2 linked regions of the Drosophila melanogaster genome follow. The gene in region 1 interacts genetically with each later gene. Each region holds a gene or a part of one and is shown on either strand. Other genes may lie near its edges.

Region 1 (4,818 bases):
GTGAGACAGAGTCCTAATCAACTCAGCATAACTCAGCCAAACTAATGTCTGTGCTATTTACAGGGCGACCATCGCCACCATCGTACCAAAGACGGCGACAGCCACAGAGAGCGGGAGCGGGATCGTGACCGGGAGAGGGAGCGAGATCGCGACAAGGATCGGGACCGTAGGCGTTCGGAGAAGAGCAGTCGCCACCACAGTGGCAAGGAACGCCATCATCATCATCACAACAACTCATCGTCAGCCGCCGCTGCAGCGGTCAGTGCAGCATCAGTCCGTCGATCCCATGATGAACGCAGTCGTCGTCGCCGGGACTCTCGATCCGGTTCCCGCACACCAACGGGCACGCCGCCCTCTCGTCGCCGCCATCAGTCGCAACAGTCACGCAAATATCGCGAACGCGACTCCAGCAGCCGCTCCAGATCTCCGAAGGAAGAACAAGCCACAACACTTCGCGGTGGAGCTGTGGCCGGATCTCATATGCTGCTCGCTAAATCAGGCGGCGGAGCAGGATCAACGGCAACTAATGCAACAGCAGCGGCGAGGGTTGCAGCGGCCGCTCTGGTAGCTGCCAATGCAACAGCCGCAGCCATGGCAGCCGGTTCATCCGGCGGCGGTGGCGGCGGTCTCCTGCCCACGCCCAACTATGCGCCCAAGATACCCTCGCTGATGTCCTTGGAGCTGAGCACACCAGCGGCAGCAGCACCAGTCGCAGAACCCATCCAGCTGCCCAGTTACTACAATCCGAGCATCATCAATGCCAATCGCTATGCGGAGCAGCAGCAGAAGCGCAAGCTACTGTGGGGCTCCAAGAAGAGCGAGAACTCGGCGAACAAGTGGGGCAACGCGCACTTCTCCCAGGACTCCGACGGCAAGGTGGCCTCCAAGTTTATGCGGCTCATGGGTATCAAGAACGCTGGTACGTCCGGCAATGACGATGGCAAGGGCGGCCAGGCGGAGTCCACCAATGGAAGTGCAGCAGGCGAGGGAAACCGCGCAGTAAGAGGTGCTGCGCCATCGGGAGCCGCTGGCGGAACGAAAGTGCCCACGGACGTGCAGCAGCGCCAGCGCATGTTCTCCAACATGGAGCAGCAGTACGAGATGGCGCGAGCCGCCACACACACGATGCGTGGCGTGGGGCTTGGTTTCGGCTCCCAGCCACGTACTTTCTAGAAGGGATCGGAACGGAGGAGGATCGGCTCCCTGCCAGGCTGTAAATACCATGCCACTCACTCAACTCATTAGTCAGTCAATATGTTTCTCCTCAACAACTTTTTGTTTGTGTTGAGAAAATTTTTTGTTTTTTTGATTTCAAATAAACGTTGCAACAGAATTTATGAAGTGACGTGGCTCTCTCTTTGGATTTGCTTGGGATAAATGCGTCGTTAGGTAGACTTTTAGTCTACACTATTACTAAGTATGCTAAGAGTATCCAACTTTAACTACAAAGTTCAGCGGCTCTAATCGAAGAATGCTTGAATATTCAATAATAAATAAAGGTATTTTTTTTTACAATAAACAATTTTAAATTTTGGCACTCTGTTTAGTAGATGTCAGTTTTTTGCCATGCACCTTGGCGGTCGGTCTGCCTATCGCCAATCGATAGCTGACCAAAAACAATAACAATAACAAAATCAGCTGACGATAGGACGTCGGATATCGATACCATATCACAAACTAATAATAAAAATAATAATAAATAAGAGAATTAATACTACTAGAACACAAACAAAAGCATATAAAGCTTACACATCCTTTATTAAAACAAACAGCCAAATTGGATTTAAATTGTGGAACGAAGCAAACAGAACCGCTTGAGTTTGTGCCACTGCCACGCAAAAAAAATTATCGTTTCCAAAAAACTAAGCATACTTCATCCGAAATTAGCAATCAGCTAGCCAAAAGCGGAGTGATCTCGTCGAGAAGAGCCACGCCCCCTATCCGCCCACGCTGCCCAGAAGAGAGCAGCGAAGATGTCGTGGCTGAACAGCAGTCTCAGCCAGCTGAAGGGCCAACTAACCAATCTGGCGCAGGAAGTTCTGGCCGAAACGGCAGGACCCGGCGACTTGGAGTATGAGGGACATCAAGCAGGAGGTGCTAGCGTCCAAGACGCCGAGCAGCAGGCCAAGACAGCCCTGGAACTGCTGGCCGAAACCCAGGAGCAGAAGGAGCAGCTGGACAAGCGGTGCGAGGAGAAGGATCGTGAGGTAAAGCCAACTCACAGTCACTTTTGCGGCTTCTTCACCAATGGCCATCCGATTGCCCCTTTCAGATAGCCGCCCTGCGCCGAGAACTGGCCAAAAGCAAGCAGAAACAGGAATCCCAGCTGGCAGCCAGCACATCAGCTACGCGGGAACCGCAGTTGGTAAGTGACGTTTGATCCGAGGGACCTGCAGCTGGCCCCCATGTGGCCATGCCACATCCGGTGCCCACTCCGTCTTCCAGGAAACATTGCACTCCGGCGTGGAGTGGTGTTTGACCGGCTTTATCTTTCAAATAAGCGATAAGCCCAGCTCTCGCGCTCTCTGTTTCGCTTTTGGCCACATATCCCTGAATTAATATTTAAACTGCGATAAGCTAGGAGTCGGCACTACCCTAGTTTTATCTGCACTTCTCGCGTTTACCTGATGCCACATTGTATGCTTCACACGGAGAGAAAAATGGTTGCAGTGGCATATTGTTGTTTTCCGTGGCACGATTACAAAGCGCTAGAATTCACCGATTTCTGTTTTGCCAACAATTAAAGGGGGGTTTAAAATAAGCCAAGTTCTCGATTGCAAAGAATGTACTAATAGTATGGCAGGGTAAGCCATATTTCATTAGAGCGTCTTGAGCTTTCGGATTAGCAATCTAATGCTAAAAACGGTTTTATATTAACTTTCTCCTGGATAAATTTGAATTTGAATTTAAACTGATTTTTCATTTGACATCCATTCACCTTTTTCCCCGTGCAACTTCTATTTGATTTCACATTCGGTGGTGTTTGGTGTCTGCTATTTGCCTGGCTGTCATAAATCCCTGGTCTCCTTTTCGATCACCCCATATGCCTGTTAGCCTTATCTAGGCGTGCTGCTAACCCTATCGCTCCATAGCCCTCCGTTCGCCAACTGCTTGTTCAATTTACCGAATTATTTCTGATTAGGCAAGTTACTGCAGCGCAACCCCAAGTGTCTGATATTCCCGTTGAAAATGCAGGGTGACGGGGTTGCATTTGGAGCCATTTGGTTTGGTCACTGGGGCGATGGAGATCTTTCTGAAGCACAACTGTACCAGATTTTCCATAGTCACCTTAAATATAAAAAATATGGCTTTTCACATTGTAGATCTAGTTTTAAAATACTAAATGACATGCATATATAACCATAGCGTTAGATGTTATATTTTTTTCGAAATGATTGAATTACTCTTTGGCAATTTTATTAGAATCGTAGATACTTTATTTAATTCTTAAAATAATGAACCATTGTATTATGATCTAAAGTTCAAATCGATCGCATTGCCAGTAGGTAAAAAATTAGAAATCCCAAAGACTTTACAATATGGATTACGAGTATACTTTCAAACTGCCTGCTTTTTGAAATTTACGGTTCTTTTAATATAATATAAAGTTTTGTAGTTTTTTGTTCATTAAAAATGCTTTTAAAATTGATTGTTTAAAAAACATCAAAATATTTTAATCAATTTATAATCAAATACAATATGATATATATTTATGTTAATTTAACGTGCCATTATGATTTGCCAGATTTTTATTTGCTCTAAATCCGGTTTTGGTTGCAGCTTAAATTGGCAAATTGATCTTTCTAGTTTCGGCCATCATTACTCATGTTTTATATTTGTTTCTGATTAGCTAATCGATTGTGTAAAAATGAGTTCCTATCAAACATGCGAAGCATAAATTATGAGGGAAAATTGCATCATTTAGTACGAATATTCAGAGATAAACCATAAATACTCATTCCTTATCGGAGCTGGCGAAATCTGAACAGTAAGCAGTTGGAAAATCGATACGGATATCTGATACATATATATAATTCTTTCATGTAAGCGATTTTGATCTATTCTTTTAATTTAATGTCGATAGATGAATGGTTGCTCTAGTCAGCTAATTCAAATCTTGATCTTCTTGAGTAAGATATGACTTAATCGGCTCAAACTTTCATCATTTCATCATTTGATTTCTATATATGTGGATATATGTTTTCCCAGATTTTTCCTTCTGGGCTATCTCGCATGTACTATCTAAAGATAGCCATATCTTTTGGATCGATAGTTGGGTCACCATATTGTTTTGCATAATTGCGCCAGGCGACCGGCGATAAGTGTGCCCTCGTCCCCATCTCCATCCCCATTCCCATTCCCATTCCCATTTTCATTCACATCCCTCATGGCCCACCTCCACTGCCACTACCAACTCCTACTCCTCCTTCGTGAATATGGCAATCTGCTCCTGCCAACCATTATCATCCCCATTAGGCGGGCATTTGGGACATCTGCATGGCACCATGCTCGGGTTATCTTATCCGGGCCAAGCTGGCCAGGATCGAGGGGGTTGGTTGGCTGGATTGCCTGGATCCGGGGGCCTATAAAAGCCCGGTTCACCTGCTGGCTGGCATTCATTCGGTTCCGTGTGATCGATTCACGTAGGCCCGCATAAAGTGTTAATTTCTACTCAGTTTCTTTCTCATTCGGTGGGCACAGTTTTGGCCTGAAAAATTACAGAAAAGAAAAAACGCAAAACAAACGCGATTTGCATTTGAAAATCGTGTGAAATTTTCCTCCAAAAAGAAGGTCAATTTTTCTTAACATTTTTTTTTG
Region 2 (7,394 bases), on another chromosome or scaffold:
TGGCCAAATTGTTTTTTAAATGCGATTAATTGTTAACACTCACACACACACACTTGTGAGAGTGGTGGGCTATTTGCAGCAGGGTGCCACTAATCCACGGGGGTGGCGACTCCGCACAAAAGCACGGCACACACAAACACAGATACTTTGCTCTGCTCTTGACTATCTTTCAGATACTTTGCATACTATTATTCACTTTTTTGTAGGGTGGTGCACTAGCACCGCTGCAACCGGTTGGCGGATTGCTAATCGCGTACCGCTGCCGTATATCCGTCTATCCGTACCCGTATCCGTATCGGTGTCCCAAAACAAACGCTCACACGCACACACAAATACTCGCACGCTCTCGCGATTCGCCGACTAGCGCTGAAATCCGGTTCTCGATCGCTCGACGGTCCAAACAAGACTGAATCGGATGCTCAGATACTCGCCATCGGATTTAGATACAACGCTTAAACCGGCGCTCTCTCTCTCTCCCTCTCATCCTCTCTCTTTGCGCTTTCTGTGTGTGTGTGTGTCCGAAGGGGCGATTGTTTGGGAAATTTCTGGGACATTTCTCACCTGTTGCCTTGTGGACTGTGTTTGCTTGGATTTCAGCTGCAAATGTAGAACTTAATTATCTTTATAAGACGATAACTATTTTATTTTGAATATAAAACACTGATTAAACACTGATTGATTAGTTTAGTTTGTATATATTTATTTGCTTAACCAACAATATCCACACAAAGCCATGCCGAGCGATTTGGCGGAATATGTATGCTTACAAATGTGTTTATAATTTTTCACACGCTGATATTGAGGGAACATACATACATTAATATCAATTTAAGTTACTCGGAGTACAGTGCAAACTGCATCTATATCAATGGACAATAAAAAATACGTTGTACACAACCAAACAGTATTGAATTTTAATTTTAAGTTAATGCAAAATGAGTATTGGATTAGCGCAAATACTGCGATTTGAAGCATTTATAAGTTGTACAGAGTAAATGCTTTTGATAGAATATTAAAGGTTAACACTTGGGTATGGAGTACGTATGTTGTAATTGGTATCGAAGGTCAATTAAAATTCGAGGGAAGACACAATAGTGTTTACAACTAAGCTAAAACTAACAAAATCAATTAAAATTAAGTGGTTACCTAATAATTATTGTTATGTACAAGTTAAACAATGCGGAGACTTAGGTCAACACTTTGAGCGAGTTTTGTGTACGGTTTGTCTTGCGAGTATCTTAAGTAGCAGGTCAAGTCTTTACGGTTGAATCTCATGAGGATAGTTACTTTCATATGCTAGGTGTATGTACGTGTGGGGGTTTCTAAAATAAATGCTCCCCAGCTAAAGAGCCGGAATGAGAACCATGTGTTGTAGTCTATTTGTGTCATGACTGTGGACGAAACTTGTTCAGTTCTTGTTACCAGGATCTGAGCTATTGCTTCACACTTAAAAAGATATCGAACTCCAGCCACTTTAATAAGTTAAACGACAAGCAGTAAACTAATAAATTCAAGCTGGTATATATGTCGGACTATTGATTAAAATGTATGCATGTATATGGGAGTAATCTGTTATACATTTTTAAGCATTTTTTTATATTATCGCCTTAATTATTAAAGTGGCTGGATTTCAGCTCATGGCTATTAATTGTATATGGCTATTTGGCTTAACCTTATAATATCGTCCTGGAAATGGTTAAATTCGTATTTAGTTTCGACGACTTGCGTCCTGGATAATTATCTTGTTCTTCTGACGCGTCACTTTCGTGGCCGTCGGAGCTGGCATCAGACGCTTCAGCTGCTCCGGCCTGAAGCTGACCAGGGCCTTGTCCTTCACTTTTCCTACGGCTCCAGTGGTGGTTGTCGACGTAGTGGTTGCCGTGGCCGTGGTGGTTGACTCAATCAGGGCCGTGGATTCCTCGGCCGTGGACCCTGAGGAACCGGCTGCGGCAGCTGACGCATATCTGGTGAGCACATGGAACTTGGCAAAGATGTTGCGTCCGCTGCGTTGCTCTTTGTCCTTGTATTTGTCTAGCGCCGAGCCGGTGGGCATCGGCTTTGGCGCTTTGATCAGTGCCTTGCTTGGATTGCCGCCACCTTTGTAGAAATGATCGTAGTCGAAATCACTACTGGCCTGCACCGGCGGGGCGACACAGGCAGGGGCCAAAGCTCGTTCTCCGTAGCTGGCCGAACTGGCCGACGTTTCCTCCGCCATGTGACGCAGCATCAAAGTGAGTTTCATTTCGTGCTGGCGCTGCAGCAGCACCGCATTCCGTTCGCCTTCCAGTCTAGCCTGGCGCACGGCATTGGACAGAACACGCTCCTTCCACTCCCAGGCATCCCGCTCACGCTCCAACTGCACCAGCTGCAGCTCCAGCTTTCGTGAAGAGTCGCGCAAATCGATAACCTTCGTGAAGTATTTGTACAGAAGTGTTCGCATCTCCTCCGTTGAGAGACGATTTAGGCGTGCCATCAGCATCTGTTCTCCCTTCTCCCGCTGAATTCGGTCGCTCGTGTCGATGGAGCGGTGGCCCGTGATCATCTCGTTCTTGAATTCTATGGCCGCATCTATGGCCTCGATGGCCTCATCGCACTCGAGCAGCTTGCGCTCCTCCTTTTGCGTCAGCACCTTGTCCCGCTTAAGTTTGCGGTCCAAATGACAGCGTTCTTCCAACAACAAGTCACGAGTTCCGCGCAAGTTGCGGATCTCATGACGCAAGGTCTCCTGCTGTTCTGGTCCCGGCTGCTCCTCCAGGTTATCCGACTTCTCGCGTAAAATGTGATTAAGGTGCGTAATCCTAGCCTGTACTGCCTTTAACTGGCGGCCTTGTTGCTCGGGAGAACCTTGCGCCTTCACTAGCTCTTTGCCAGTCTCCCTGGATTCTCGTAGTTTGGCCAGCTCCGCCTCCATCTGGCAGCGCAGCTTGCACTCCTTTCGAAGCTTTTTCTGTAAATCATCGGCCTGTTTTCGCGACTCGCCCACCGATTGCTGTAGCTTCTTCACCTTCTGTCCGCTCTCACCCGCAATATGCTTCATTGAGCTGAGGTCTTCTAGTCGACGCTCGAGATGTCCGATTATCGTGGTCCATCGCTCAATCTCCGACTGATCCCGGCCTTGAACTAGCGCCTTACCTAACTGCTTCTTGGCCTTGTCGCACTCGGCCTCAAGTTTGGCACGTTTCTTGTGAAATCTTTGCTTTGCATGGCTGCGTGTATCGCTGTTCTTGACCAATTCGGCGATTATATTTTGTTTTACCTGGATTGTCTCTTCGATTTCCCGTAACTGTCGTTGCTTGCCCTCGATCTCAGCGACCAGTTTGCGCAATTTTTTCTGCAGCTGTTCAATAGGAGCAGTGGCGGCGGCGGCAGCGAGAGCCGCCTGACGGATTCCTTCGCCCGAAGAACTTTCCAGAGGATCGACGACCGACTCAGGATCGATGGGCGGAGGCGGCTGCTGGGAAGCTACCCGATTAAGCATGGCAAGCTCAGCAGTACTTAAGCTAGCACCTGGCTGAACACTTCTCCTGCGACCTATTAAAGCAAGGAATCAACATGTTACTGTATAAAAAAATGTTATTCAAGGCAAAGACTTACTGCCAATGCTGACTTTTCGATCATCACCATTTTCTTCTGGCGGCTGTGCCTCAATCTCGCGGTCTTGGCTTTGCATAACCGCCTTCGGATGCTTGGATAGATATTCAGCGTGTTTTTCAAGTATAAGAGCGTCTGTTTTGTCGCGAAACTCTTCCATTAGACTTTCTATCTTGTCGTCCAGATCGGGCCGATGCGACTCATTGTCTGTGTCGTTTTCGTTGTCGGAGTTTGGCGACTCCGAATTGGCTGCTTCAGAATTCACGTCCTCGGGCTCCTCGGCCTCCAGAATGGGAACCAACTGTTTTTGCTGACGCATAGCCTCTGTTGAGCTGAGACACTCCTCGCACTCCTGCTTGAGGAAGAGCCACTCCTCGATCTGCTCCTTCTCCACTTCAGTAATTAGCTTGGAGTCTATCAGCCTATAAATTTCTTTTGTCGTCAAAAGGCCCACATCGGAAATAATGTGTACACTTACTTGGAAAATAGCCCCTCGGCGTTGGTAACTAGTTTGGACCATTGGCTTGCTGCGAATTGTAGGCCAAAGTTGTCCCCTGGTCCCGCCTGCGACAAGGGTCCAGCAGAGGAATTGGATTCGGGAACAGGCTCAGCCGGCTGAACGATCATCGTGTTGTCGTCGGAGTAGGTGTTCATAATTACAAAATTACGTACGCACTGCACCTTAAAGGCGAACTGCAGGTTGCCAAGAGTTTCGGGCAAGTGCTCTTCCAGCGGTGACACGCACAGGATCACGAGCGTCTGAGCCCGTCCGCCGAACGAGTCCTTCAGGAGAGTGGTGAGCGTGGTCTGACCGTACGGAATGTTGCCATTAACCCCGTACATGAGGCCTGGATCTGTGAGAGTACTGATCACCTGCTCCAGCATACACAGGCCAGCATCGAGAGGACGTCCCGGTGGCTGGTCTCCACATCTCTCTGTGCCGCAGAGATCCGAGAAACTGGCCGTGGACAAGCGGTGCTGCAACAGCCCCTCCTTGGACACCCACTGCTGCTCCAGGGTAAGCGTGAACAGGGTGTGCGCCGGCAACGATTGGCGGGCCGACAGACCCACCTGCAACCAGTGGAAGACGGCATCTACGTTGGTGCAGTGTATGTTTCCCATGCCCAACAAGTCGCAGACATCACCTCCGCAAATTTCCACGAATCCCACGTTGATGGCATAGGTGCGTTCTTAAAGTGAAAATGGAAATGGATAACTATGCTTATAAGATCCTTTTAGTAAACTCACCTGGGTGCAACGATATGTGTGAGAAAATGTCACGGACACAAAGTTGGACGACTCCTTCGGTGGAATCCGTCAGAGTAGGGTCCTGGACGTTTCCGTAGAGTGTGTAGCTTTTGCCCTGGCCCCTCTGGCCATAGGTGACTACAGATGCGTCGAAACCTTCCAGGAACAGGGTGATGAGCGGAAAGACCGTCTGGTGGTACACTTGCTCCTGGGAGCTGCTGCTGGGCAGGGCGTGGGTGACCGGAACCGTGTGGGGACCGACTTGTATCAGTCCAGCTGCAATGCTGTCCATGGGATCTCCGCCTGGCAGGGCACTGGGCAATCCCAGGGCCGAAGCGCTGATGGGAATAGCCTGAACGCAATATGCGGAGTCTGGGTAATCCTTCTGACCACTGTCGTTGCCATTGGCATCTGGAATTGTCTTCGAATCGGCCGCACTGTCCTGCTCAGCATTCCCGTTTGGGTCCGTCTCTGAAATTGACGGATTGTCCTTCTCAGCCGCCGGAACTTGAGCCTCGGAGTCCTTGGAGTCCGCCCCCTCATCCACCGCCTGCGCATCCTTTTTGGGCTCTGTGGGGCCGAAGCTCCTCAACAAGTCCTTGAGCTCTCTATGCGGGAAGATGCGCACCGCTACCTGAATGGGTATTTCCATGGTGGTTAGGCAACTAGTCCTGGTCTCGCAGGAGCTCTTTCATTCGATATCCTGCTCTTTGTTTCGCATCTTTGCGCTTTCAAATACGTGCAAAAATTCAACTCCCTCCGAATCGATACAATGTGATAGTGTGGCCGACGCTAAAGCGCCAACCCAAGCCGAAAATACCGAATCCATGTAACAGTTTGTTACTGTAAAAATCAAAATCAGTTTCCAATCAAATTGCTGTCAAATGTCAATTTTAAGACTGTGAGCTCACAACTATTCTTCAAACTGGTGAGTAAAACCGAATTCTATAGATAGATTCTCGTCAAAAGACTTAAGCTTGAACTGCTGTTTTTTTTTAAATGCCAAATTGCTGCCGTGCTGTTGGTTGTGATCTTCGCTAACCATGGGCTTATATAGTATACACAGACAGTAAACTTTGGTATTTTAAAAGTTGCGATCAGCATGGTCGGTATATGCTAAAGGTCTCACTGAGCGCGTGTTTTTTTTTGTGCTAAACGCTTCGTTTTGAGAATTAAGTGCAGTAATCACCATAAATTAGCATGTCCAAGCGTCGAATCGAAGTGGGGGAGACCTACGGCAGCAAGGCGAAGAAGTAAGTGACCCGAGGCCAACATACGGCAGTAATGTAACGCTCCTTTCTCACCAGGGACCCGGAGGCGTCCTCCTCGTCGGCGGCAGCCGCTGCCGGCACAGTGGCTCAAATCCTGGGCGGATTCGTGCCCAACAAGCAACCGCCCACGATGAACCCGCTGACCAACACGCCGTACTCACAACGGTACCAGAATCTCTACAAGAAGCGCATTGCGCTGCCCGTGTTCGAGTACCAGGCGGACTTTATGCGGCTGCTCAGCCTGCACCAGTGTATTGTGCTGGTGGGCGAGACTGGCTCCGGCAAGACGACCCAGATCCCGCAGTGGTGCGTGGACTTCGCAGTATCCAAGGGGCGCAAGGGAGTCTCCTGCACACAGCCACGTCGAGTTGCCGCCATGTCCGTGGCCCAGCGCGTTTCGGAGGAGATGGACGTAAAACTGGGCGAAGAGGTCGGCTACTCCATCCGTTTCGAGGACTGCTCCACGGCCAAGACGCTGCTCAAGTACATGACCGATGGTATGTTGTTGCGCGAGGCCATGTCTGATCCCATGCTGGACCAGTACCAGGTCATTCTGCTTGACGAGGCTCACGAGCGGACCTTGGCCACTGACATTCTAATGGGCGTGCTCAAGGAGGTCATTCGTCAGCGCAGCGACCTTAAGCTGGTGGTCATGTCCGCCACACTGGACGCCGGCAAGTTCCAGCAGTATTTCGACAACGCACCGCTCATGAAAGTGCCCGGTCGCACACATCCCGTGGAGATCTTCTACACGCCCGAACCAGAAAGAGATTACCTAGAGGCTGCTATTCGCACGGTAATCCAGATACACATGTGCGAGGAAATTGAGGGTAAGTTGGTAAATGAGTTTAGCTTGGAGTTCATTTAATAGCTTGCTAGTTCATTGTTCTAAGAAGCATTTATCGATCATATGTTTACAATGTAAAAGTGCCAGGCAAAATATAAACTTTCCGAGTGCCGAAGGGCGGCAAATGCTTCGTATTTGCTTTAATGGTATTGTAATCATTCAAGTGTTTACGACTTTTGAATATGATCCTATTCAATGCCGGAAAAGACGCATTCGCTTTTTCCATTGTAAACTAAACCCCAACTTGATTTTGCTACTCTAGGTGATATCCTAATGTTCCTCACGGGCCAGGAGGAGATTGAGGAGGCTTGCAAGCGCATCAAGCGCGAGATCGACAATTTGGGCTCAGAAATTGGAGAGCTGAAATGCATTCCCCTGTACTCGACGCTGCCGCCCAATTTGCAGCAGCGCATCTTCGAACCGGCCCCGCCGCCAAA

The links.
Region 2: of Gmap (region 1) and cos, changing one enhances a phenotype caused by changing the other (phenotypic enhancement), as found in Drosophila melanogaster (one study listed by BioGRID).

Annotation. Positions count from the first base shown.
Region 1 is NC_004354.4:15,485,269-15,490,086, forward strand, and holds the start of Gmap (golgi microtubule-associated protein), read left to right. Parts: upstream 1-1,653; 5' UTR 1,654-1,973; coding exon 1,974-2,207; intron 2,208-2,272; coding exon 2,273-2,365; intron 2,366-4,612; exon of another isoform or gene 4,613-4,818. Other genes in the region: CG6340 (uncharacterized protein), read left to right, coding at 64-1,173.
Region 2 is NT_033778.4:7,381,489-7,388,882, forward strand, and holds cos (costa), read right to left. Parts: upstream 5,628-7,394; 5' UTR 5,492-5,627; coding exon 4,840-5,491; intron 4,782-4,839; coding exon 4,070-4,781; intron 4,014-4,069; coding exon 3,595-4,013; intron 3,532-3,594; coding exon 1,709-3,531; 3' UTR 688-1,708; downstream 1-687. Other genes in the region: Dhx15 (DEAH-box helicase 15), read left to right, coding at 6,040-6,092, 6,147-6,940, 7,220-7,394. UniProt on the Drosophila melanogaster protein: Regulates cubitus interruptus (ci) processing by recruiting multiple kinases to promote its efficient phosphorylation.